Linked DNA regions of Struthio camelus. The protein of the gene in region 3 interacts with the protein of the main gene of each other region in a pairwise test. Links are inferred from orthologs where the notes say so. Each region holds a gene or a part of one and is shown on either strand. Other genes may lie near its edges.

Region 1 (7,176 bases), on a different chromosome or scaffold from region 3:
AGGGGGTCCGCGAGGCGTCGGGCACCGCGGGGTCCCGGCCCAGCCCGGCGTCGCCCGCCGCCTTGCACAATCCGCTCTTTGTTCGCTCTCAAAGGGCGGATCCTTCCCCCAGCCAAACTGTTTTTCCCCCCCACCCTCCCCCGGGGAAAAATTTCCATGGGACCGGAGCGGGGACGCATCGGGAGGTGGAGGGACCATCCGGCTGGTTGAAGGTTTCCCCCCCTCCCGTGCAAAACGCCGCAGCGGAGCAAAATCCACCCGTGCGGGAATGAGATCTGGGCCCTGGGGAGGAAGAGGCGATGCCAAGCCGCCGGCTTAATCGGGTTAGGGGCTGCAGTTCAGGAAGCCGTCGCTCATCAGACGAGCTGCTAACTGGAGCCTGGTTCCTGTTTCGGCCGAGCCAGCCGGGAACGACCCCTCGCCGGCCCCGGCGGGATGCTCCGGGGGTCCCTTTGGGGCAAAACACACCAGGAGGGGGGCCGGGGGCAGAGCCGGAGCCTGCTCCGTGCACGGAGCGGCTCTTGCACCGGCACGCTGCCGTGCAGCCCGTCCCGCCGCCGTCACCGCCATGCAGCCGGCGCCCCTCTGGCCCCGGCGGGCGGGTGCCGTGCCGGCCGCGAGCCCCCCGCCCTGCCTCCTGCACCGCCGAGACAACCGGCGGCCCCGCGGCGGGCGCAGCGCTGCCGGCCGCTGATAACGCCCGGCCGGAGCCGCCTGCCGCCCGGGAGATACCCGGCGCGCTTCCGCCCGGGGTCGAGGCGTTGCAGGGGAGGTGGGGAGGGGGGGAAAAACGCGGCGGCCGGGATGTTTTTGCAAGTTATTTATGAGCTGGGCGAGGTGTTAGCGCCCGGCGCTGACCCAGGGCTTCGGGAGAGCCGGCAGGACCGGTAGGGCCCAGCCCGGCCGGATGGGAGAGGCGAGAGCGGCGCCCGGCCCCCTCCGCCGACGCCACCAGCGCCGGGCTGCGCCCGCAGCTCCCCTCCCTGTTTACCGACGCGCGTTCGACGGCCGAAAGGGTTCGGGCAACGGCGCCGAGCCGCGGCGGCCCGTTCGCGCCCCTCTGCCCCGGCCGAGCCCCCCTTCCTGCGCGATCGAAGGGGCGTCCGCCGGCCTTAGGGGACAACCGCGACGCGGGAGCGGGGAAAAGCCGTACGGTTTTTGCAAACGGCTCTGCTGTGCAAGGCCGGGCGCATATATATATATATATCTATCTTTTCCCCCCACCCCAGCCAGCGCGCAGCTCTCGAAAGATCCCGGCCGAGATAACTCGGCGTTTGCGTAAACCAGGCGTTGCCCGTCGCCTCGCCAGCTGCGGGAGGCGAGCCGGAGCGCGGCGCGGCCGGGATGCCGGCGGCGAGCCGAGCAGCGCCGCGGGCACGAGCCGGGGCGAGGGAAAACACAAAGCTAAATATAAAACGCCGCACGGTTTTGCAGAGACAGCTGCACAGGGCCGCGCAGTCGCTCGCTTCCCAGTAGGTAGGATTATTTATGGCGTGTTCCGAGCGAGTTAATTTTAGCCTCGTTAGTCCCTCGGACGGGGACTCAAAACGAGACAGCCAGCGTTCAGCTCGAGCCGGGAGGAAGAGGGGGAGACGCGCCCGCAGGTTTCTCGCCGCCGTTCCCCCGGGGGCATCGACGGACGGGCTGGCCGAGCCCCGCGCGGGCGCCCAGGCCGGGTACCGGGGAAGGGCAGGGGCGCCCGGCGGCGGGAGGGAAGGGACGCGGGCGCTGCCCGAGCATCTCCGCGGCGGTGGCAGTGGGGGGGGACCGGTCCGGCGCGGGCAGGGTTAAGGCGAGCAAAAGCAGAGCAGGTTCTTTAACAGCTGCCAAAGACAGCGGAGGAAAACAGGACGAGCCGGAGAGCTGCGTCGGCAGGACGGAGCCAGCTGGCTGGCACCGCTTCCCGGTTCGCGCCGGGCGGCGTTTAGGAATAGACGACGGATTCGGAGGGGCCGGAGCCCGGGGCTCGCGCCCCACGTCGCCCGGTCCCCGACCGAGGAGCTGAGGACGCCGCCGACCGGCTCTGCTTCCCCCCCCCGCCCGCCTCCCCCTCCAAGGGCACCCGGGCGAACATGGCGCCAGGGACGGGAGCCGGGAACGCCGGGAGAGCCGCCCCCGCCGCGGGCGCTCCTGCCCCGGCCGGGCCGCGGCTTTCCCCTTTCCCTGCCTCCTCCGCGCCGCTCCTTCCTCCCTCCCGGCTCCCGCGTCCTCGCCGCCTGCCAAGCGTGACGACAGCGGTCGTCCGGGCAGAGGCGGCGGTGGCATCGTCCCCCTCCGTCCCCGCTCCGGCACTCACCGAGCTTTCAGCTCCTTGTGCTCCTCCCGCACTTTGCTCAGCTCCAGCTGCAGCCGGGCTCTCTCCTTGGCCACCGAATCCAAGGTCTTGCGGGCGTCCGCCAGCTCCGACTCGTAGGCGGCCTTGATGCCCGAGACCTCGCGGCTCACCACCTCCTCGGACTCGGTGATGCGGAGCCGCAGGCCGGCGTTCTCCAGCTCCAGCGAGCGCACCTTGTCGATGTAGACGGCCAGGCGGTCGTTGAGCTCCTGCAGGTCCTCCTTCTCCTGCAGGCGGGTGATGCGGGTGGGCGACAGTGGCGTCCCCGCCGCCCCGCTGCGGGTGCTCCTCTTCTGCGAAGGCGTCGCCATGGCGGGGAGGGCGGGAGGGGGGGGGGGGAAACCCGGCGTCGAGGACACGGCACGCGTCCCAAGCGTCTCGGCTGCTCCGGGCTGCCCGAGTGACTTGCTTATATCCCAGCTGGGCTGCGCACTGCCAGGCGGAGCCGCGGCGAGGAGGAGGAGGAGGAGGAGGAGGGTGGAGTTATCGGCCAGCGGGGAGGAGATAGCCCCGCTTGCGTCAAGCGCCAGGGCCCCTTCCTTGGGAAAAGGCTGGGAAAGCATCCCTGGGAAAAGCGGGCCTGGGGACAGCCGGCCTCGGCCGCGGGGTGGGGGACGCTGCCGCCGCCACCGCTGCCCCACAGCGAGCTGGGTGCCAGCTCCCCCCCCCCGGCACCCAGAGCACCAGGGCACGGCAGACACAGAGCCCTGGGGCCCCAAAGCCAGCACCCCGGGGTCCCCCACGCTGCTGCAGCACCCCCAGACCTCCAAAGAGGGGGCTCAGTGCTCCCCCAGTTTCCCCAGCTCCTCCAGTCCCAGCACCAGCTTTGCCTGGTCCTCACGGTTCCTGCAGTCCTCAGCACTAGCTGCGCCCAGCTCCCAGTTGCCCCAGTTCTCCCCAGTACCAGCTGTGCCCAGTTTCTCAATTGCCCCCAGTCCCTGAGCCAGCTGCACCCAGTTTCCAGTTCCCCCAATTTCCAACACCAGCTGTGCCCAGTTGCCCCAGTTCTCCCAGTTCCCAGTGCCAGCCATTCCCCACTCCCCCAATTCCCAATCCCAGCCATTCCCCGTTCCCCCAGTTCCCGGGGCCAGCCGTCCCCCCACGTTTCTCCAGTTCCCAGCGCTGGTGATCCCAGTCGCCCCAGTTCTCCCAGTTCCCAGTCCCAGCCATTCCCCGTCCCCCCAGTTCCCGGGGCCAGCTTGGATGGGGACGGGGATGGGGACGGGGAGCCGGGCGGCGGGCGCCCGCCGCTCCCCCGGCGCGGTGCAAGGCGCTGCAGCGTGGCGCCCGCGGGGCGCAGCCCGGGCTCCCGTTGCAACGCAGCTGAACTGCCTCTAACGGGAGGGAAGCAAAGGCGCCGGCAGGCCGGGAATGACTCACGCAGCAACCGGAGCAACACACACACAAACACACACGCGCACGCACGCACACGCACACGCGTGCGCGCGCCGGCGGTGATTAATCCCCCGCCACCCCGCTCCTTGCACGGCAACGATGAGTCACGGCTGCCGGGGAGGAACGGCAGCCGGGGCGGGCGAGCGGGACGGCGAAAATCCAGCGGCCGGCTTTCAAAAAATCAGCAGCCCCGAGGCCGGCGAGGAAGGCGCCCGGGCGGAGGGCTGGCAGCGGGGCCTCGCCGTACCCCTTCCCCGTTCCCGCTCGCTGCGCGTCGGGCCGGCGAAGACCCCCGCGGAGCGGGGCGCGCGGTGCCGGGCCGGCGATGCCGTCCGCTGCCCGGCGCCGCAGCTGCCTCCCCGCTCCGGGGGCGCCTGCCCCGCTCGCTCCCTCCTCTTCCTCGCTGCATCGTGCGAGCTTTTCCCTCCCTCCCGCTGGTGCTTTTCCCTTCTCCGCCCTCGTTCTGCCTCGGCGCTCGTGCCCGGCTGCTTTTCCTCATCCCTTTCCCGGATCCGCCGGGTTGCCCGTCCGTCCCCGAGGGCCGATGCTCGCCGCCGCCGAAGGCGGGGTCTGGCCGCCGGCTCCGGCGCGCCGCCGCGGCCGAGCCAGCGCGCGGGGCACTGTGGGACGCCAACGGCCTCCTCCGCTCCGCAGCTTTGTTTTGTTTTGTTTTAAAGGAGAAAAAAAAAAAAAAAAGAAAAAGAAAAACCACGCCGGGCAGGAAGGGACAGCAGAAAAGCACTTTGCACCCTCCGCCGGCGGCGTGCATCGGCCGGCCGGGGGGGGTTAAAGCAGCCGTGCTTTAACACGGCAAAGCGCGTTTGGGAGCAAGGGACCGGCTTGAGCAATAGCTTAAAAATCACAGCTAAAGGTCACTGGCGCAGCCGGTCCCGGCAGCCCCCGGCGCAGGACCCCGCGGGCTGAGCACCCCCAGCAGCCACCGGCTCCGGCTGCTTCCCAGATGGCAGAGAGGCGTTTTTGTCATTTACGCAAGGCAGGAGGGGGGTTTAATTGGAACCAGCTGAGACGGGCGAAGCGGGGAGGACGGGCTGGGCCGGGCTCGGCCGCGCGCCTCCCTCCCCGGCTGGGGCACGGCGCAGGTCGGGGCGCAGCCCGGCGCTTGGGCCCCTCCAACGTGAATTCCTGCGGTTTGCACGAGCGAGCGCTCGGGGAGCGAAAGGCCGGGCTCCGTGGGCTTGCCGGCGCAGAGCGCGGGGGACCGGCGAGGGGCGACGGAGGGACGGGGAGGCTGCGCCCTTCGCGGAGACGCTCCCGTATCCTGCCCGGCCAGCTCCCGCGGTGACTCAGAAAGCAGAAAGCAGTCACATCCCTGGAATTTCAACCTCCTTTCAGCTTCCAAAGCTCTTTGGCCTGCAAAAAGCCCGGAAACGTCGGGTGCCTGCAAACGCCACAATGCAAACATACATGTGCACACGTGGCCAGCGATGAAGCGCGGCTGCTCCGAGGGCTGGGGGGCAGCGAGGGGAGCGGCGGGGACGGAGAGCGCGTCCGGGACAGGCGCTGCCGAGGGACGAGCCCTGCGGACGTCCCGCCACAGCCGCCCTCGCAGCCCAACCTTTCTCCTCCTCTCTCTCTCTCTCTCTCCGGTTTTGCTTCTTCCCGAGGATCCTGGGGTTTCATTTCCCAGGTTTTTACGCAGCCTGGGATCGTCTCCCGCTCTCGCAGGCCCGGAGCAACGCCGGACGGAGGCACCGTGATCCCACGGAGATGCCTTCCCGCTGTTGGGTGCTCCCCTGGCTCCTGGCCCCAGCCGGGGCGTTTCTCCAGCTGTTCCCTTTCCAAAGCAGGCACACCCTATCTCCAACACGGGGATTTTCCCTTTCCAACCCTCTCTGCTGCGCCGTTAACCCTACCTCCCCCAGGAGGGCAACATCCCGGCCCCCGAGCTTGCTCCCACGCGACGCCAGGGAGCGGAGAGCCGGCGGGCCGGCCATCCGCAGCAGGGCACGAAGCAGCGCGGTCCCGCCGCCCAAGGACGGAGGGCGCCGCGGTGGCAGACGCGTCCCCCGGCCGCCGTCCCGACCTGCCGCGTGGCACCCAGCGCCGGGCTGACCCGCGAGGCCCCGGCCGCTGGGGGCTTCCCCTCCTTCCCACCCACAGCCCACCCGCGTAAGGGGGTTTGTGCGTGCGCATAGAGGAGTTTTAATTAGCTAATAATCTTTAATAGGGTTTAATTGCCTTGTTATAAAAGGTAATTGCAGCAATACATCAATTAGAGCTGTAAAATTAATAGATTTACCAGTTGTATTTATTGAGAGAGCTGAAACTTGCAGCAAGCAGGAGCCAGGGCAGGGCCAACGATGCGCTCGGATGCGCCAGCAGGAAGGAGAGCCGCGAAGGGCGACGCGGAGCCATCCAGGAGGACTTCTGCCCGGGAACGGCGGGACACCCCGCGAGCGGCCCCGCGACGGGCCGCTGGGCGGTTAGAGCGGAGCCCACGGAGAGCCGGACGCGCCGGACAGGGCTGCGGAGCTGCAGACTGGGGCCCGCGGGGGTTCACGTCCGCCCGGGACGGCGGAGCGCGTCGCCTCCGAGCTCCCGGGACGCGAACGGCGGCGCTTGCTCAGGCTGGGGCAGACGCGCGCCCCGCAGCGACAGCCAAGGGGACGCCTGCGTCCCCCGGCAAGCCCCGTGCCTCGCTTTCGGGAGCACGAACGAACCCTGTCTGGGTGGCGGATGCGCTCTGGAGTAGCAAAAGCAATCCTAAAGTGCAAGCTCTGAAGCCCCCTTTGGCCGGGCTATAGCCGGGGGAGGCAGGGAGCACCCAGGGGTGCAGGGACTCGGGGCGCAGCAGAGAGGAGCACCCAGAGCACCAGGCAGGGCCGAAGGTGCCCCGGGCTTTCCTGCCCGCTCCACGCTCGCCGAACCCCGGAGCGCTGGTGCGGCGACGGGGCTGCCGAGCCGCGAGGATGCGGCCGCTCCAGGCAGCCCAGCGGGAAAAGCATCTGGCTGCTGGGCTGCCCTTCCCCGCCGCGGGCAGGGGTCGAAAGGAAAAGCGGCTCCAGCATCGCGCGGGCGCGTTGGGGATCGGGGCGGCGGAGGGGACCCCGGGCCCTCCTGCCCCCTCCCAGCGTTGCATCCTCTGCCCGCAGCCGCCGAGGGTCACTCCCGCGCGCGGGATCAGGCAGTTCGGCGTGCAGTCAGTAGCCCGAGCTACGCCCATGTGCACGTGCACCCTAAATACCCTGTTTCACTGCAACCGGTGAGTTTCTGAGTGCAAAATCCTGAGCGAGCCACGTTTTCTCCTCCCTGCCACCCCCCCAGCGCTGCTGGAGCCGGAGCGGGGGGGGGGGGGGGGGGTCGCGCTCGCATTTTAACGGACGTTTTTCCCTCTCTGGCTGCCCCGAGCGGGGAGCTCGGCGCAGGCAGGGAGAGCGCACACAATGAGCTGGCGCCAGCCCAGGCCGGCGTGGGGCAAAGGACGG
Region 2 (7,528 bases), on a different chromosome or scaffold from region 3:
CTACTTACTTTGGTGCTTTGTGTCCTCCTACTTCTAGAAGCATTTTTTAAAGTGAAAACTGAAATTCTAGAGCAGAAATCTGTAGCAAGCTATAAGTCCTATGGTGGAGAAAGCAGGGTACTTCCCAGACCTTCGGAGGCTGCAAGTAACTTTTAATTACTGTCAAGCTGAGTTGAATTTGGGCTGATAAAAGAATGGTTTGTGCTATATCTTCAGTCCTTAGAGCATTCTTGCCCCTTCCTAAAAAGAATGAACGTATCTGAGACATTGATTAAACATGGGTCATTCAGAGGGGAGATAAGGAATATAAGGCATAGGGGAAGTTAGACTACTATATAAAAGACAGAAATGATCCTGCTGTTAAAGATGTATGAATAATAGAGTGCAGATCAGGGCAGAATGCGAAAGAAAAAGGCATGGCAGCAGCTGCTGAGAAAGTAAAGCAATTGAGGTAAGAAATAACAGTGGAGATCCTGTGTCCTCAGATTTGTGAAAATTTCAAAGTTGTCATGAAATCTAAGATAGCATCAGAAAGCTAGTTACACAAGAAAACTGCCTGGCAAACAATTGGGAAGATGCTCTACATCAAAGGATGTGTGAGGTTTTACTTTGTCTTTAGCAGTGACTGTGAGCAATCTCTTCTTCTCATGAGAGAAGCATTCTAGTGCTAGGCAAAGTCTTTTGCTACCGTCAGTATTCTCTGACATCCCAAGAATTTATTCTTATCCTACTGAGACACTCAGATATGTTGGAAGTACCTCTGAGCTAGAGCTCCAATGCTGAGCCTGAGGGACTTCCAAGTTCCTGACTTTATAGCGAGGTGAAACCTGTACACACACCAGTCTTCTCCTGTTCTCCGGTTTCTACAAAAATGAAGAAGGAGGGAGTGAGCAGACAGGAGCCTTGGTGTGCTCTGAACAGGTTCCCAATCTGAACAGCTGAGGGAACACAGTCCCACTGTATGCCATGGCCCTCTGCCATCCCAAGCAAGTGACATTGACAGAGCCTTGGAGTGTCCCTTTATTAAACAACAAATGGTTGTGTCCTGGGCTAAAAAATCAATTCTACCTTCTGAAAGCAGCGAGGGAACTTTATTATTAAATGTTTTTAGTAGCACTGAATTGTCAAGGTCCTTAATGAGAAAATAATTACTAAGAACTGAGAGATGAATGACTGGTTCAATACTAAACCATATCATTAGAGCAATCAAGAGGACTAGTATTTGAACAGATGCTAATTCCATGACTAAAGCATTATACTCCATCTAAAGCAGCAGTTGTCTAGCTGGCTCTCAGCTTTTCTCTTTACACTTCCTTTACATAGTTGATCCTTTCCTCTCCCCATCCCACCCCCCAACTGTTCTCTTCTCTCTAGTGGAGACAGGAAAAGTGAATATAAAAGTTCAGCGAACAGGGAGAGGATACTGATAACAAGGATGAAGTATATGTATGTAAGTGTTCTGGTTACTGCTAAGGAAAGGCATCTTCCATAAAAAACATAGACAGTATTACATCTCAATAGTCCAAGTTTGAGGGAGGGATATTTAAGAAAGTGTATTTAGAAAAAAGATTTTGCTGTGACATAGTTGACAGCAGTACTATGAAAATAACTGGCAACATTAGAAGGCAAAAAAATACCTTGAAATATACAAAATTTATAAGATATTATCTAAAAAATCTGAAAAGAAGAATAGGAGAGTTTGGGCTAAGCTTCATGAATAAATGGGATTTAAACCTGGATTACATTACCAATCAAAATGCTGCAAAGGGTTTAAAAGGATTTCCAAAATATGACAGATGAGTGCAGTGTAGTGGCAAATCATGAAAGGAAAAATAAGCTAACCCGAAAATGCTTGTACAGAGGCTTTCAGAATTCCTAAAATAGTTTCTTCTGGCTTAATCTAACCGAATTTTATTACAGGTCTTCCACATACTGTGTTGGAATTGTGTTGTGTGGTGCAGTGTTGGAAACTGTACTCATTGGGAGGCAAAAAGTTCATAGTAAGTGCATGGCTTAGTGTTTACAAATACTCCTGTGCTTTGCTTGGGGGAAGGCAGCTATATTTGAAAAGATACATAACACGCACATCCTAGAAACTCCAGCAAGAGGCATGTGGCTGAGGGCTGGAGCTGCTCCAGGAGCAGTTGGTTTACAATTTGCAGACAGGCGCCAAAATTCAAAAAACGCACTGTACTTCAAATCCAGAGACTCAGATGAAAACAACGCAGAAGGAGGTGGCTCCAAAGGCTTCTGGGCTGTCCTCACTATGGCTCTGTCTGTGCCTTGAGTAGGCAGAGGCTGCATAATGAGACTTCTGCGCTCAAAGAAGAAACCGCAGCACTCTGGGATTTGTAGTCTCTCTTTTCCTCGTCCTTTTTCAGATAAATTCAAGTCAAAGACAACTGTTTATGATTTCAGTCAGAAAGCTACAAGTTTCATGTTGAGTTGTATATCATATGGTGACTTGGTTAGATTATCACTGATAAAGAATATCTTATTGATAATGAAGCACTGATCTTAAAATACTATCTGAGGTCGATTAAATGCCAGTAGAAATGACATATATTGATCTATGTGCTTACTTTCATTTTGTTTATCTTTCATGAACTCCCTCCAGGTAAGCAGTGATATCCAGGGCTTCACAGACCTCAGTGTGGAAACCCCTGCTCTCAACTCTCTCTGTAGTATATAGGCAAAAAATGAATCAAGTCTATCCTAAGTCGGATACCTGAGCCCAGGTGGGATGAACTGCAGTGTGGAGGGCACTCTCTGCTGTCTACAGACAAAGCCCAAATGACTTATTTCAGATCAGATGCATATTTTTGAACAGATACATTCAGATGAAAATGTACTCTCTATATGGATCAGCTGCTGAGAAATGCAGTGTTTCAAGAGGACTTACAGCTATTCACTGAGAACAGACGATGAATGTCCAGAATTCCTGAGTTCAATCTCAGGGTTTTCAGTATGAGGCATACTTGATATTTGAATCCCAGATCCTCTAACATGAGAGCAGTCTAACTTCTGTTTGGAGGATAAGCCCTTTTGTGCCTATTTGGCCAGCCTAGCTTCATGTGTTTCTTCTCATGTTAAACATGCAGTATTTTCTTGCCTTTTCTAATATTTCTCTGTCTAGATCTGTCTTCCCGCTCATGCACATCTCTTCTTTGCATTACACTCATGCTGCTTTTTTCTTTTCTGTGCATGTACCACTGCTTTATCTTAATCTGGTTTTCCCTGTTCTCAGGCAGGAATTCTCTCTCTCTTCTCAGTCGTCTTTGGTAGCCGAAAGACACAACTCCCCTAAATGCTTTTCAGACTCCAAAGTTCTGAGACATAGGGCATTAGCTCATGGGAATGCTAATCAGTTTTTACCGGTTAATATGTAAGAACTGATAGAGATTGAGGAATAGTTAGTAAAAATATGATCTGGGAAAAATAATACTCCAAATCTCTAGGAAGTGAAACTTTCTAGGAAGTGAAACTTTCCAGGGGTTTTTATTTTGTACAAATTTGGCTGCATTCCTTGGGACAGCAAAAGGATTTCAGGATAACTACCTTCTTGAACTCCCTGATTGAAGGCTAGCAGGCATTATTATCTCAGTAAAAATCTGGAAGGAGTTTCTGAAATCTACAAAGCAGCCCTCCTAAAAATCCACCCTAGGAAATAGCTGATATGTATTTTTCCTGAAACTCCCCACTGTCAATGTGAGCAAAGAGCAGACAATTGGCCTACAAAATTTCATTGCTAACAGCAGAGCATGGCAAAATTATAAACAGCTGAAAACAGAGCTCTATAACAAAGTTTTAGATAACTAATGTGAAAAGATAGACTGTAAGAGAAGTATTGCAAAGCTTTCAATAAAATTGTAAGAATTAGCAGCACTGCATCACTTGTAATTAATGTGAACTCTTCAAATCAAAGCATTTGATTGTACAGTTACGTTTTTACTGGATCTTTTTTTCATGAGCTTTATTGGGCTTTATTAATGCAAAAATGAGAGAACGTACTCAGAAGTGACCTGTTTTCTGGCGATTGCTATAGCAGTAACAAGAGTTCCTAGAAAAAAATGTTCTCCTTTCCAATATGCAGGACTGCTTCACAGGTCTGGGGCACCACAGGGAACAGTCTTCATTTCTCTGACTTAGAGGCCATAAGACCACGAGGCCGTTACGGTGGTGGTAAACGCTTCAGCAGAGCCTGAACTGAAGCTGTGGAGGGAGAATCACTTCAGGACCAGGGGGACCCATTGCCCCAGGGCATGAGGTACTGGGGCAAACACGGAGCCGGAGCCAGCGCGGGGGTGGGAGGTCCCCGCCCTCCTGAGGAAGCGGGCCATCCGCCAGCAGGAGCCACCGCACAGCGCGCTAAGGGCCGCTGCCGCCGGCAGGTCCCGTCAGCACTGCACGGCGCTGCCCGCGACTCACAAAATGGTGCCGGTCGGGACTACATCTCCCGGCACGCCCTGCGGCGCAGGACTGCCATCTTGGCGCGGAGACTTCATTTCCCAAGCGGCGCGGCGGCAGGGGAGGTGGCGCCCGCCATCTTAGCGCTCCCTCCTCCCCCAGTGCGGCTGGATTGAATGAGCTGGTTGCCCGCCTGCCCGCGAGGAGAGCGCCATGTCAGGCACCCCGAGCCGCGGCACCCCCGGCGGGACCCCGCTGTCGCCGACTCGCATCTCTCGCCTGCAGGAGAAGGAGGAGCTGCGGCAGCTAAATGATCGTCTGGCCGTCTACATCGACCGTGTGCGGGCACTGGAGCTGGAGAACGACCGGCTGCTACTGAAGATCTCCGAGAAGGAGGAGGTCACCACTCGGGAGGTACGGCGGGGCGGCGGGAGGGTCCAGGGTGGCTGCGCTAGCCCTCGCCGGGGGCTTCCCGGGGCGGGAAGGGGGCAGCGGCTGCCCGTTGGGGGCATTTCCCCCGCTCCTGCCAGGGGAGGGGGTTCCGCGGCCCGCGGAGCTGTGCCGCGGCCGGGCTCGGCGGGCCCCTTCCCGCCGCGGCGCCTCCGCCTGCCCGTCCGGCGCCGAGAGCCCTGGAGCGGCTCCGGGGCAGCAGCGAGGTGCGGCGGTGCAGTGCGCGGCCCGTGGCGCCGTCCCCGCCCGGCTGTGCAGTGCCCTGGGGCAGGTAGTCCTGGCTCTGCCCAGTTGTCCTGCTCCGGGCTGGAGGCGACAGCCGCCGGGGCCGGGCGGAACCTCGGCGTCTCTGCGGGAGGCTGTAGAAGTCAAACGTCTCTGTATCTGAATGGCCCTTTGGGGGCTCTCTGTCTTGCCGTTAGGTGGGGAGAAGAGACTCCTGGTGACACCTAAACTAGGATAAGGCCAGTATCGACACTGAGTGAAATTCCCACGCCTGGAGCAAACTCTATGTCTACAGCTGGACTGGAGTGGCACCGCTGGCTGCCTCTGCAGGCTGGTTGTGCTGGAGCCCTCCTTTAGGGTGAGGCATGAGAATAGTGCCCTTCCCAGGAGTTAGGGTATTGGGGTCTAGCGCTGAAAGTGTAAGCTGCTGCTCTTATTTTGCTCAGGTAGGGCTCGCAGCACAAAAGATCTGGTTCACTGGATCTTCTAGTTCCTGCTGCTGATACAGTGCTCGGGGTCCTGTCAGTTTTTGTGCAGGTCTGTTCTGCTGTGGACTACTACTTTGCTATACTCTGTAGCCTGTTCCCTTATCACAGGTAAGCTGGTGAGCTGAGCACTGGCCTTGGTGTACTCCCACGTGGTGAGCACATCCTGTGAGCTGCAACAACCTGAACGTCACCTTTTCTTTTATGGTCCCCACTCTGACTGCTGATGTGATAAGGTGAAAAAATCTGAAAGAGTTTAGGCAAACTTTGCTTTTTACAGGAGATGATCTTTGTTAGCCCCTCTAGAACTAAGTGTGTCCTTGTAGCGTGAACCACTCTTTGCTGAGTGTTCCCATCATGATAGGGGATCTGGGCCGTTTCCTGTGATCTTGGAGGCAAACTGGCTGATACTTTTGTTTTTTGTTTTTTCTAAGCCATGCTTTGCTTCTCCCTATTCTGCTGTATCTGCTTTCCCCCAGGACTCTCCTTCCCATATGAAGGAAGGATGTAGTCAGTGACCCAGCTGGGGACAGTCCCACCTATCCTGTACCAGTCAAAACCCCCCACTTGGCCATCTCTTGGAGGCACTCTGCAAGGTAAGGTGTCCCACCTCACAGATGAAGTTAAATTTCTGTGGAAAGCCTTGTGGTTACCTGCTTGGTAACTTGTGTTGATGCAAAGGACTGCTGTGGACTGCAAAGGACTGCTGCTATGTAGCTGCTTTTATCTATCTATATATATACAGTGTGTGTGTATGTGTGTATATATATATATATATATATACATATAAATGTGTGTATATATATCTAATACTAGGGGTACTGGGAGGAGGGTTGGAATTACTGCACTTTAGTTGAAATGGACCAAATATGATAGTGTCTTGTTTTGGGAGTGATCTGCCTGCCTAGTTATTTCTGTACTTCCAGAAATCAAACACTTTAAAGTCCATTTGTGCCACTTAATGATATAATTTCTATATTTTCCAAATAGCTTGATTTTTTTTTTTTTCTAAACAAAATACATTCTTACATCTTTTGTCCTGTGTGAAATTATGCTTGAAACAGAATAACTGTATCTGGTTCAGAGAGCTTCTAAGCTGTAGGTTGTTGGAGGCTGGGAGAGTACAGAAGGGAATATGCGTCTTAGAATTGCCGTCTGCCTCCTGCATTTATTAACAGTGTGCATGTAACGAGAGTAAAAACAAGGCAAGCATGAAGCATACGTATATTCTCATTAGGTTTTTAGCATGAACATAAACTGACTTCTGTTAACTCTTCAGTATTTAATCAATCCTTATTGATTTTTAATAAATCCTTATTTTGCCCTTGAGCTTACTTTCTTCATTTTTATCCAAGTTTTTTTTTAAAAGTCCTGATTCTTGGACATATTCTAATAACTTTGTCTGGATTCCTCAGGCTCTGCTGTGGTATGTCAAAGGCAGTGACTTTAAGATACTTTTACTGGTCTCTGGACTGCATTTGTTAGATGCTTCCCCTCTCCCTTTGTTCTATACACATATCTGAAAGAAGAGACTTGGAAGTATTGTCAGTGTTGTGAAGTGAAATAATGGTCCAGAGGTTCAGGGCTGTGTGAACGCTAAAACCTGCAATGGCTTTGAGATTTTTCAGGTTTACTGAAATGAGGGAATCCTGTACTTCTGACTTTCGGAACCAATCTGGTAAAAAAAATTTTTCAGCTAACAGTCCAATTTGATTGTTAAAGTGTTAGAATGTATGTTCTAAAAATGATTAAACGCAGTGTGAAGTAAGATGCTAATTAAAAAAAAAAAAAAAAGAAAAACCCCCAAACTACTGTGCAGAAGCACAGTTAAGCGTAGTCAAGTGATAGTGACGTGCTGTTCTGACTACATCATTAAATCTTTGTATTAACTCTGCATCTTTAAAATAACCCATTTTCTTTTTCCAATGTATTCAATATGAACATTCCTCTTGGTTGTCCTC
Region 3 (7,588 bases):
CACAGATACAGAATGAATGCACAAAGTTAAGCTATGTCCAAAGGAACACCAAAAATCAGGAATCACAGAAAGCGCAGTGGGCCAGAACCCTCTGAAACAGAAAACTACACAAGTGCTCTTTCAAAGGCATTTACAAGTTAATACTAGCTTCGATTGAGTCATCCTTGATTGAAAAAACCTCTTGCAATTTTCAAATTAAACAGCACTCAAATTTAAGAGCAATATGGGAACCACAGAATAGAGCAGACCAATTAAAAAAATCCCACAGAATATTTTTGTAATGTGTTTCTAAAACATCAAAATGCTTGATTACATTAAATAGCTGATTGTCTACAGATTTAGAACAACTGGTTGCATTTTCCTTTCAATATACGTAAGTCAGTACTGTCATTTTTCCAGACCTGTAACATACATAAAAATGGAGCTAATAAAGCATTGCAATTTTGTTACTCATATCCTAGCCTAACAAAAAAATAAAAAAGCAATGCTGTTATACTTACACAGGTGACAACGCAGTTGCATTTCCATATGCACCCACTGAAAACTGTTTTCTGGTCTTTTACAAAAATGCATAAAACAAATACTTGAAATAAAAAAAATGAAGTTATCCAGAGGAGTACAAGCCTCAGTTTCCTCCCTTTTCCCTATATTCCCAGTTTCCTCTCTTACATAGATTTAAAAAGCAACAGGAGGGAAAGTAATCACTCATACCAGCTTCTTTCATTTTGCCTCCATACCAGAACTCCACTCCTCTACACATCAGACCTTCTTCACTCCTTTTCTCCCTTCCAAACATTTTGGAGACATATCACTCTGGAGGCCTGTATGTTATTCTATTGGAAGGACAGCAAATCAAAGCAGCACAACAGCTAATCAAGCTACAAGTAGGTTCAGAACTGCCTAAGTTGTACTATGCATCAACTGAGCTATCAGGGAGGGGAGGGGTGCAAAAGAAGCAGAACCCACCAAATTCCAACTGTTGCCACTACAATATTCTCTGAAGTTTTGCATCAAGGTGCACTGCTCGGAAGTTAACACACAGGAAGACTAGCATAACTAGCACAGAGCCTTGCAGACATTATTAACCAAAGTGCAAGAGTACCACCCATTCTGTAAACAATAAAATAGTCATCCATAATTGTTTAAGTGAAAGGACTGGAGAAAGGAGAGGGAAAAAAATCAGGTCTTGGGACTTCAGAAGTTGAGACTTCCCTCCTCTTACAACTCAAATTCAAGGTCATTCTCTTCTACTTGAAAGCACCTTAAAATGCTACAGGCAGATCACTGAACTGGAGAAGCGCCTAGTCCACGGTTAAGTGTTCTACAGTGAACATCAATTCAGTATTTGAATTAGGCACATATTAAAAAGAGGTAAGCAATTTAACTAAAAATCTCTTCCTCTTTCAGTTACAATTTTCAGTTTCTTAAACTAAGAACTGTTAGTTGTTCAGATTTGTATATGCTGTAAGTACAAAAAACCTTCGAAAAAGTCTGGTCCTCTGCAGCCTCTTTACAGATAAACTTTGAAAGATTATTTTTTGCAGACACGAGTTTTTTTTATACGAATTACAACTCTAGTAACCGGCAAACACCGCAGAAACCTTTACGCAAGATGAGTCAGTGTGTTCAGCTTCAGATTATGAAAAGATTGCTTTTTAAAGTATACATAAATTTACAAGGCACTTACTAAAATAACAATAAAAAAATCATATTATCGAACATAGAAAAAGTTTAAGTGTCCTGAGCTACAGCTACACCTTTTTCCTTGCACACATGCTGGTATAAAGTCTAGGAGAGCAAGTAACAGTTAATCAGCTGAATCCTTGCAGCAGAGGCATTTTGCTATGAAACACGTGCTCAGAGGTATGAGAAAGCCAACTATATTAAGCAGACACTCTTTACACTAAAAGAGTCCACTCCATTAAGCAAAACAAAGAAGCTGTTCCACCACAGTTTCATCCTCCCATCCGAGAGGGGACATTCAGATCAGGGTTGTTTCAGTGCAACTGAATTTATAGGAGGCTCCTGTCTAATGTTCCTGAGACGAAGCCTCGTGCACACTTTCTCTTGCTTTGTTTCTCCAACACTTGAGCACTTTCGCAACGAGACCGCCAGTCAAATCGAAGTCGAGACGTCCCAAGTTTACAGCCCGGGGATCTCACGTCCCGCACTCCCGGCGGCCGCGGCGGCTCCCGCGTTCAGCCGCGCTCCGCGGCCGCCGCAGCGGGGGCCGCGCCGCAGCCGCCGCTACCGAGAGGCGCACACGCGGGACGCGACCCGGGGGCAAAGCCGGCGGGCTGCCGGGCACCGCGGGTCCCAGTTAGCGGTCACACCGGGAAGAAACCCGCCGGTACGGGGCGGCCGCCTAGCAGCGCGCCCCGACCCCGCTCCCTCACGCCAGGGGCGCGATCGCGCCCTCGGCCGGGCCTCGCCTCGCCGCAGCCGCCCCGGCGGGAAGGCGTGCGGGCAGCCCGGGCGCCGCACGGCAGCCCCCGAGCCGCGGGGACCGGCAGGGGCGGGCGGGCCCGTTCGGGCGGGAAACCGGGCCGGGGCCGCCGGGAAGCCCAGGCAGCGCGGTGGGGGGGGGGCAGGCTGCGCTCACCCGGCCGACGGCGGCACCCCGGCTCCGGGCGCCGACGGGCGTGGGCTCCCGCTCCTCGTCGCTGGAGAAGTCGGGCTGCGCGGCGGCGGGCGGCGGGTTGCGGGCGGTGAGGTGCTGCAGGTAGAGCTGCACATAGACGTCCTTGCGCTGCTCGCCGCCCGGCAGGCTCACATTGTTAGCGATCAGCTCGCTCTTCAGCTTCTCCTTGGTCAGCACCGACGGGTCCGCCAGGAACTCGGGCATCGCCGCCGGCTGCCGCCCGCCCGGGAGAGGCACCAACAAAGCGCGGGCAGAGCGGGAGGGGGCGGGGAGGGGAGGGGGAAGGACTCGCCTGCCCCGCGCCAGCGACCCAGCTCCGCGGCGGGCGCGCGCACCGAGCGCTTCTCCCAGCCGGCAACAAGGCGCGCCCCGATTGGCGGGGAGGGGAACGAAACGGCCCTGTTATTGGCTGCCGGGCGGAAAAAGGCAGCGGCGCGCGGGTTCCATCGGCGTTAGTGCTTTGCGCGAGGGATAGTAACGCAGTTTAAATTCGTCTCAGGCGGGAGAGGCGCGCGAGGCAGCGCTGCCGCGGGGGGGGAGGGGCCGCCGCCGTCCCGCTCCCGCTCCGTCCGTTCCCCCCACTCCTCCACAGCGAGGGTCCGCCTCGTGGCGGTGAGGCGGCGGCGGCGGCGGGGTGTTTTCCCTTGCCGCGCAAGGGGTGAGCGCACCCCGCGCGGGTGGTGCCTCGGGCCCGGCCCTGCGCCCTTCCGCGGGGGTAAGGAGGGCCTGGCGCGCCCGCCTACAACCTGTTGCGGGAGTGCCGCGGGCTGCGTCGCCGCCGCGGCTCCTCGGGCACCGGCTTCCCCGGCGTGATCGACTTGCAGCGTTTGTCACGTGCTGGTCTTCAGTGTGCTCAAGCGAATGCCTCGCAAATACATTTAAAGCGTCTTCTCCCACAGTAGCCGAACTTTCTGTTACCGGTAGCGAAGTGCTTCACTTCCACTTAACGCGCTGCCAGCCTAGAGAAGAAACCCAACCAGGAAAGCGCTAGCTCGTCTCCTAGTATAACTGCGGCAGCTGTGATAAATTTTATGTTCAAAGATGCTGGAATCCCTTCTAACGTATTGGAAAAGTTAAAAGGCGGGTGTAGTCACTGCATCGAGCTGGTTTCAAAAAATTCACAATAGTCTCTCCCCGCTGAGGAAGTGGTAGGACTGAATCGTAAGACTGCAAAGTCTTTAGGACAAGTGAGTTAAATCTTTCTGTATTTACATAGTGCTTGCTGGGAATATACACTGCTATAAATCTTGAATAAATTGTATGGTGAGAAGTTTAATATTTAGATCTGAACGTACATCCTATGTTTGTGGGAACCATACTGTAGTTTCACAGCTAAGAAGAACTGAAATGTGAATCTATTTTAATTTGCCCATAAAACATAGATGTGAAACCAGGTGAGTACTGGTTGCATCCACTCCTTTACGTCGCCAGAAGAGAATGGTTTTAAACTGTTGTTGAGAAAAAGAACGTCCTGCTTTTGGTTTGTTCGATCAATGACAACAGAGGCTGTCATTTGTGTTTACCCAGCCATCGCTACCGTCTTGGCTAGATGAAGCTGCTGAGGGCCGTTTTGGTAAAAGAGAATTTGCAGGCAAATCCGGCACCCACCCACAAAAAGTCTGATGCTACTGATTAATTAGTGTAGTATAAGAAAGCAATTAATACAAGGGAGAAGCTTAGCTTGGGGACTTTAATTTTACCCCCACTGCAAGTAATGATACGCTGTGGTCATTGTCTGCATTCCTAATAATATATATCTAAAATGAAGAAACTATTCAGTTCTTACTGTTCTATACACTTTATCTGCTCAGTTTGTTAGACAATGAGTCTGAACTGTGGGTAGAAATATTTTTCTTCCATTAAGAGCCTACCCTGAGCAAATGCTGCTACTCCACTGTGATTTGACTACTATCACTTATTTTTAAGCCCAAATGGAATAAATTAGATGGTCCAATTTATTTTTCAGCATACCTTACCCAATGTTTTTCCTGCAACATGGGTATCACATAAGAAGTGTTCTGGAAATGCCTAGTGAAAGTTGAATTCCTCTCCAAATCTGACAGTAGTAATTTAAAGTGTAGATCATTTGTTTCAGGATTTGATTCAGATAACAAGCCAGTTGCAGACTAACATGGAGCATGCTTCAGACAGGCATTATGTGAGAGATTCTTCAGCTATCATGCTATCTTAAAACAAGAAACTCCATTGGCGTTGAGTCACAAACGTTTTCAAGCAGTGTAAGGGAAAACTGGATCTGGGAAATTTTAAACCAAAGTTAGCAGTGAAAATGCAATCAAAAAATTTGATGCGGGTTCCATCTAATAACCCCACAGACAACAGAGCATTCTACACTTTAGGCTTGAAGCTTGTTTTCTGCTGCTGCTGCTTCTTAGTGGAATTCAGCCGCAGTTTGCAACTCCTTGTAAAGTTCAGAATATGCACTGCAGTTGATGCTCCTTTCATTACGAGTGACCCTCAGCAGTGGGAGGAATGAAAAACGTTGATCTTCAGGTCAGTGCTCACCCTTCAGTCTAAGTATTTTGATGGTTAGTCTGCTTTTAATGCATTTAGTGTAGCATAAAAAATGCAACAATGAGATGATAATGGAGCAGTAAATCACTACAAAGTTACACCGCCAGTTCAGATTTGTTCAAAATAACTAGGTGGGTTAACTGGCTTTACGTTGGGTCTGTCTTTTTGTCCTCCTGGAGTCAGGCAAAGCTGGCTTAGAAGAACAAAGCCAGCAGAAACTCAGCATCATATGCTTTGGCTAATTGCTCAAAATCCAGTACTAGTGATTGTGGAACTTCAGGTTAACGTTACTTACAGTTCATATTTATATTCCGTTTCTGTTTCAAAAGTTATTTCCTCAACCATAGAAATATGTATTATTTGTCATGAATGATTTTCTCAGTTATACTGTTAAACGTCAGTTGGCGTAACTCCCTTGCTTGGACACTGGACTCTTACCAGCTTTCTGTTAGCTGCTTCCCAAGTTACATGAGCTAAATGGGAGATGAGCACTTGTTTCCTCCTCATGGAAAGTTATGTTATATTACGCTTTTAATATTACCTTATTGCAGGCCAGTAGATTTCTGTGAAGCAGGGTCCATAGAAAAACCTGTCAAAAAACTGTCCTTTACATCCTGTATAGTATCAAGTTGGCATACACAGTTCTACACTTTTCATTTTTGCTCCTTGGGAGCAACAGGCATTCTCCAGACAAGGTAAAGAAAGGGGAAGAACTAGGAGAGGTAATCAAAACGTGTACCTACGTTATGATTAACACTGGAAACTGCAAACCTGCAGCTATACCCACAGTTAGAGCTCAGTACATTTGAGGATCTGCATTTTTCTTGTTTGTTTTGTTTGAATGAAAGAAAGCTTAAATTTTGCAGCATAAGATAGCAGCCAGAAGGAAAAAGGGAATGAGTTCATTAGGAACGAGCTCAAAAGATCTTTCTAATGTTCTTACAAGAAAAAAAAAAGAAACCCTAAGCGATCTGTACGCCGTTTAGCTGTTTTGCATGTTAAAGGTTGAAATAGAAAACTATATCGCTTTGTGAAGCATTCCAGTACTTTAAATGAAATGTGTATGCCTTACCTCAAATTCTGCTTTTCAAGGGCTGAAACACCTGCTTCTACCTGAGAAACCTGTAGTCAAGTGTTACCTCCTGTCAGTATAAATGCAGGTGACAAAAAGGTTTAGGAAAAAAGTGAAAATTGGAAGTACAAGACTATGGCCATTTTCAGTGGTTGAAAAATTACTGTAAGCTTGCCTAAAAATGTGAAATATGCTGAAAGCAAAAGCCAAAAATACTTCCTATGTAGGACCCTCCCAAATGTCTGGAATTTTTTAGCTTTCCTGAGTGTGAGAAAGAGATTTTCAGTCATGCAGACTTTGATATGAAAACACTGAAGCCCTTCTAAATTATCTCAGATTTTTAGCTTAGAGTTTTGCCAGCTTTACAATTCTTAACCTCTAATGCCACACGTAAAAATGAGACCTTGTTTATGTTGCGCTACAATATAAATGTTAATTTTCTATGTCTGTGTGTTTAAAGATTATCCTGAGTTTAGTAGAGTTTTTGGATAACATTTACGCCATCAGGAAATATACCTTTATAATTTGCATTCATGTTTAATCTTTGTCTCATAATACATGGTAAAATTGTGAAAACTGTAAATTCATTAATGACAAAGACATTTAATGAAGTGCTACAGGCCTGCCCTTGCCTTAAACTGAGTTGATATGGAAATCTTCCTATCTAAAGGAAATGTAAAAGTCCTATATAAAATATTAACTCAGTCTGGATGCACGGTACGCTTGAAAATGAAAATAACATTCCCTTTCTGAAAGGCAAGAGAAACTAGAAAGCACATTCCTATAAGTAAGGGAAGCAGTTCCTAATCATTAAGGCATAGTGTAACTATACTTTCTAGAATCACTCAATGCTTTTCCACATTCTGGATTAATTTAGAGAACTGAGACAAAATATATGGCTTTTTAATAACTCTACCTTTCTTATTAGAAATATCTTTTTAAGCATAATTCAAGTGTAAATGGCAAAGTGATAAGAAAAAAACATGCCTTACTGTAAGGACGTACAGGGCAACTCTCTCTTGGGGGAAAAGTTAAACCTGTTCCTGAATTTGCAGTGGAAATAGTTTTTACCAGGTGGACAGGCCAGGCTACCACACTCTCATTAGCATCCCCCCCACAGGGGGATATGCTTGGTGGTAAACAGGCAGGTGTTTGCTCATATTTTCAATATGAGAGGAATCCAGCTCTGACGGTATTCTGTATGACTCTGTCCTCATGCACGGAAAGAAATGTGTACAACTGGATGGAATTACAGTTTTAAAGCTTCTTACTACTGACATTGTGATAGACAAAGGCTTATATGAATGAAGGCTGAAAACAGAAGTATCAGTTCCTACTTCAAG

The links. The genes of interacting proteins can lie anywhere in the genome.
Region 1: the proteins of TMPO (region 3) and LMNA interact in a two-hybrid assay, tested with the Homo sapiens proteins (2 studies listed by BioGRID, with this or other methods). The link is inferred for Struthio camelus from reciprocal best matches to the Homo sapiens genes TMPO and LMNA.
Region 2: the proteins of TMPO (region 3) and LMNB2 interact in a two-hybrid assay, tested with the Homo sapiens proteins (2 studies listed by BioGRID, with this or other methods). The link is inferred for Struthio camelus from reciprocal best matches to the Homo sapiens genes TMPO and LMNB2.

The regions. Positions count from the first base shown.
Region 1 is NC_090971.1:3,833,976-3,841,151, reverse strand, and holds the start of LMNA (lamin), read right to left. Parts: upstream 3,018-7,176; 5' UTR 2,899-3,017; coding exon 2,297-2,898; intron 1-2,296.
Region 2 is NC_090967.1:1,606,812-1,614,339, reverse strand, and holds the start of LMNB2 (lamin-B2), read left to right. Parts: upstream 1-4,511; 5' UTR 4,512-4,620; coding exon 4,621-4,821; intron 4,822-7,528. UniProt on the Homo sapiens protein: Lamins are intermediate filament proteins that assemble into a filamentous meshwork, and which constitute the major components of the nuclear lamina, a fibrous layer on the nucleoplasmic side of the inner nuclear membrane.
Region 3 is NC_090942.1:53,314,665-53,322,252, reverse strand, and holds the start of TMPO (thymopoietin), read right to left. Parts: upstream 3,011-7,588; 5' UTR 2,846-3,010; coding exon 2,603-2,845; intron 1-2,602. UniProt on the Homo sapiens protein: May help direct the assembly of the nuclear lamina and thereby help maintain the structural organization of the nuclear envelope. Possible receptor for attachment of lamin filaments to the inner nuclear membrane.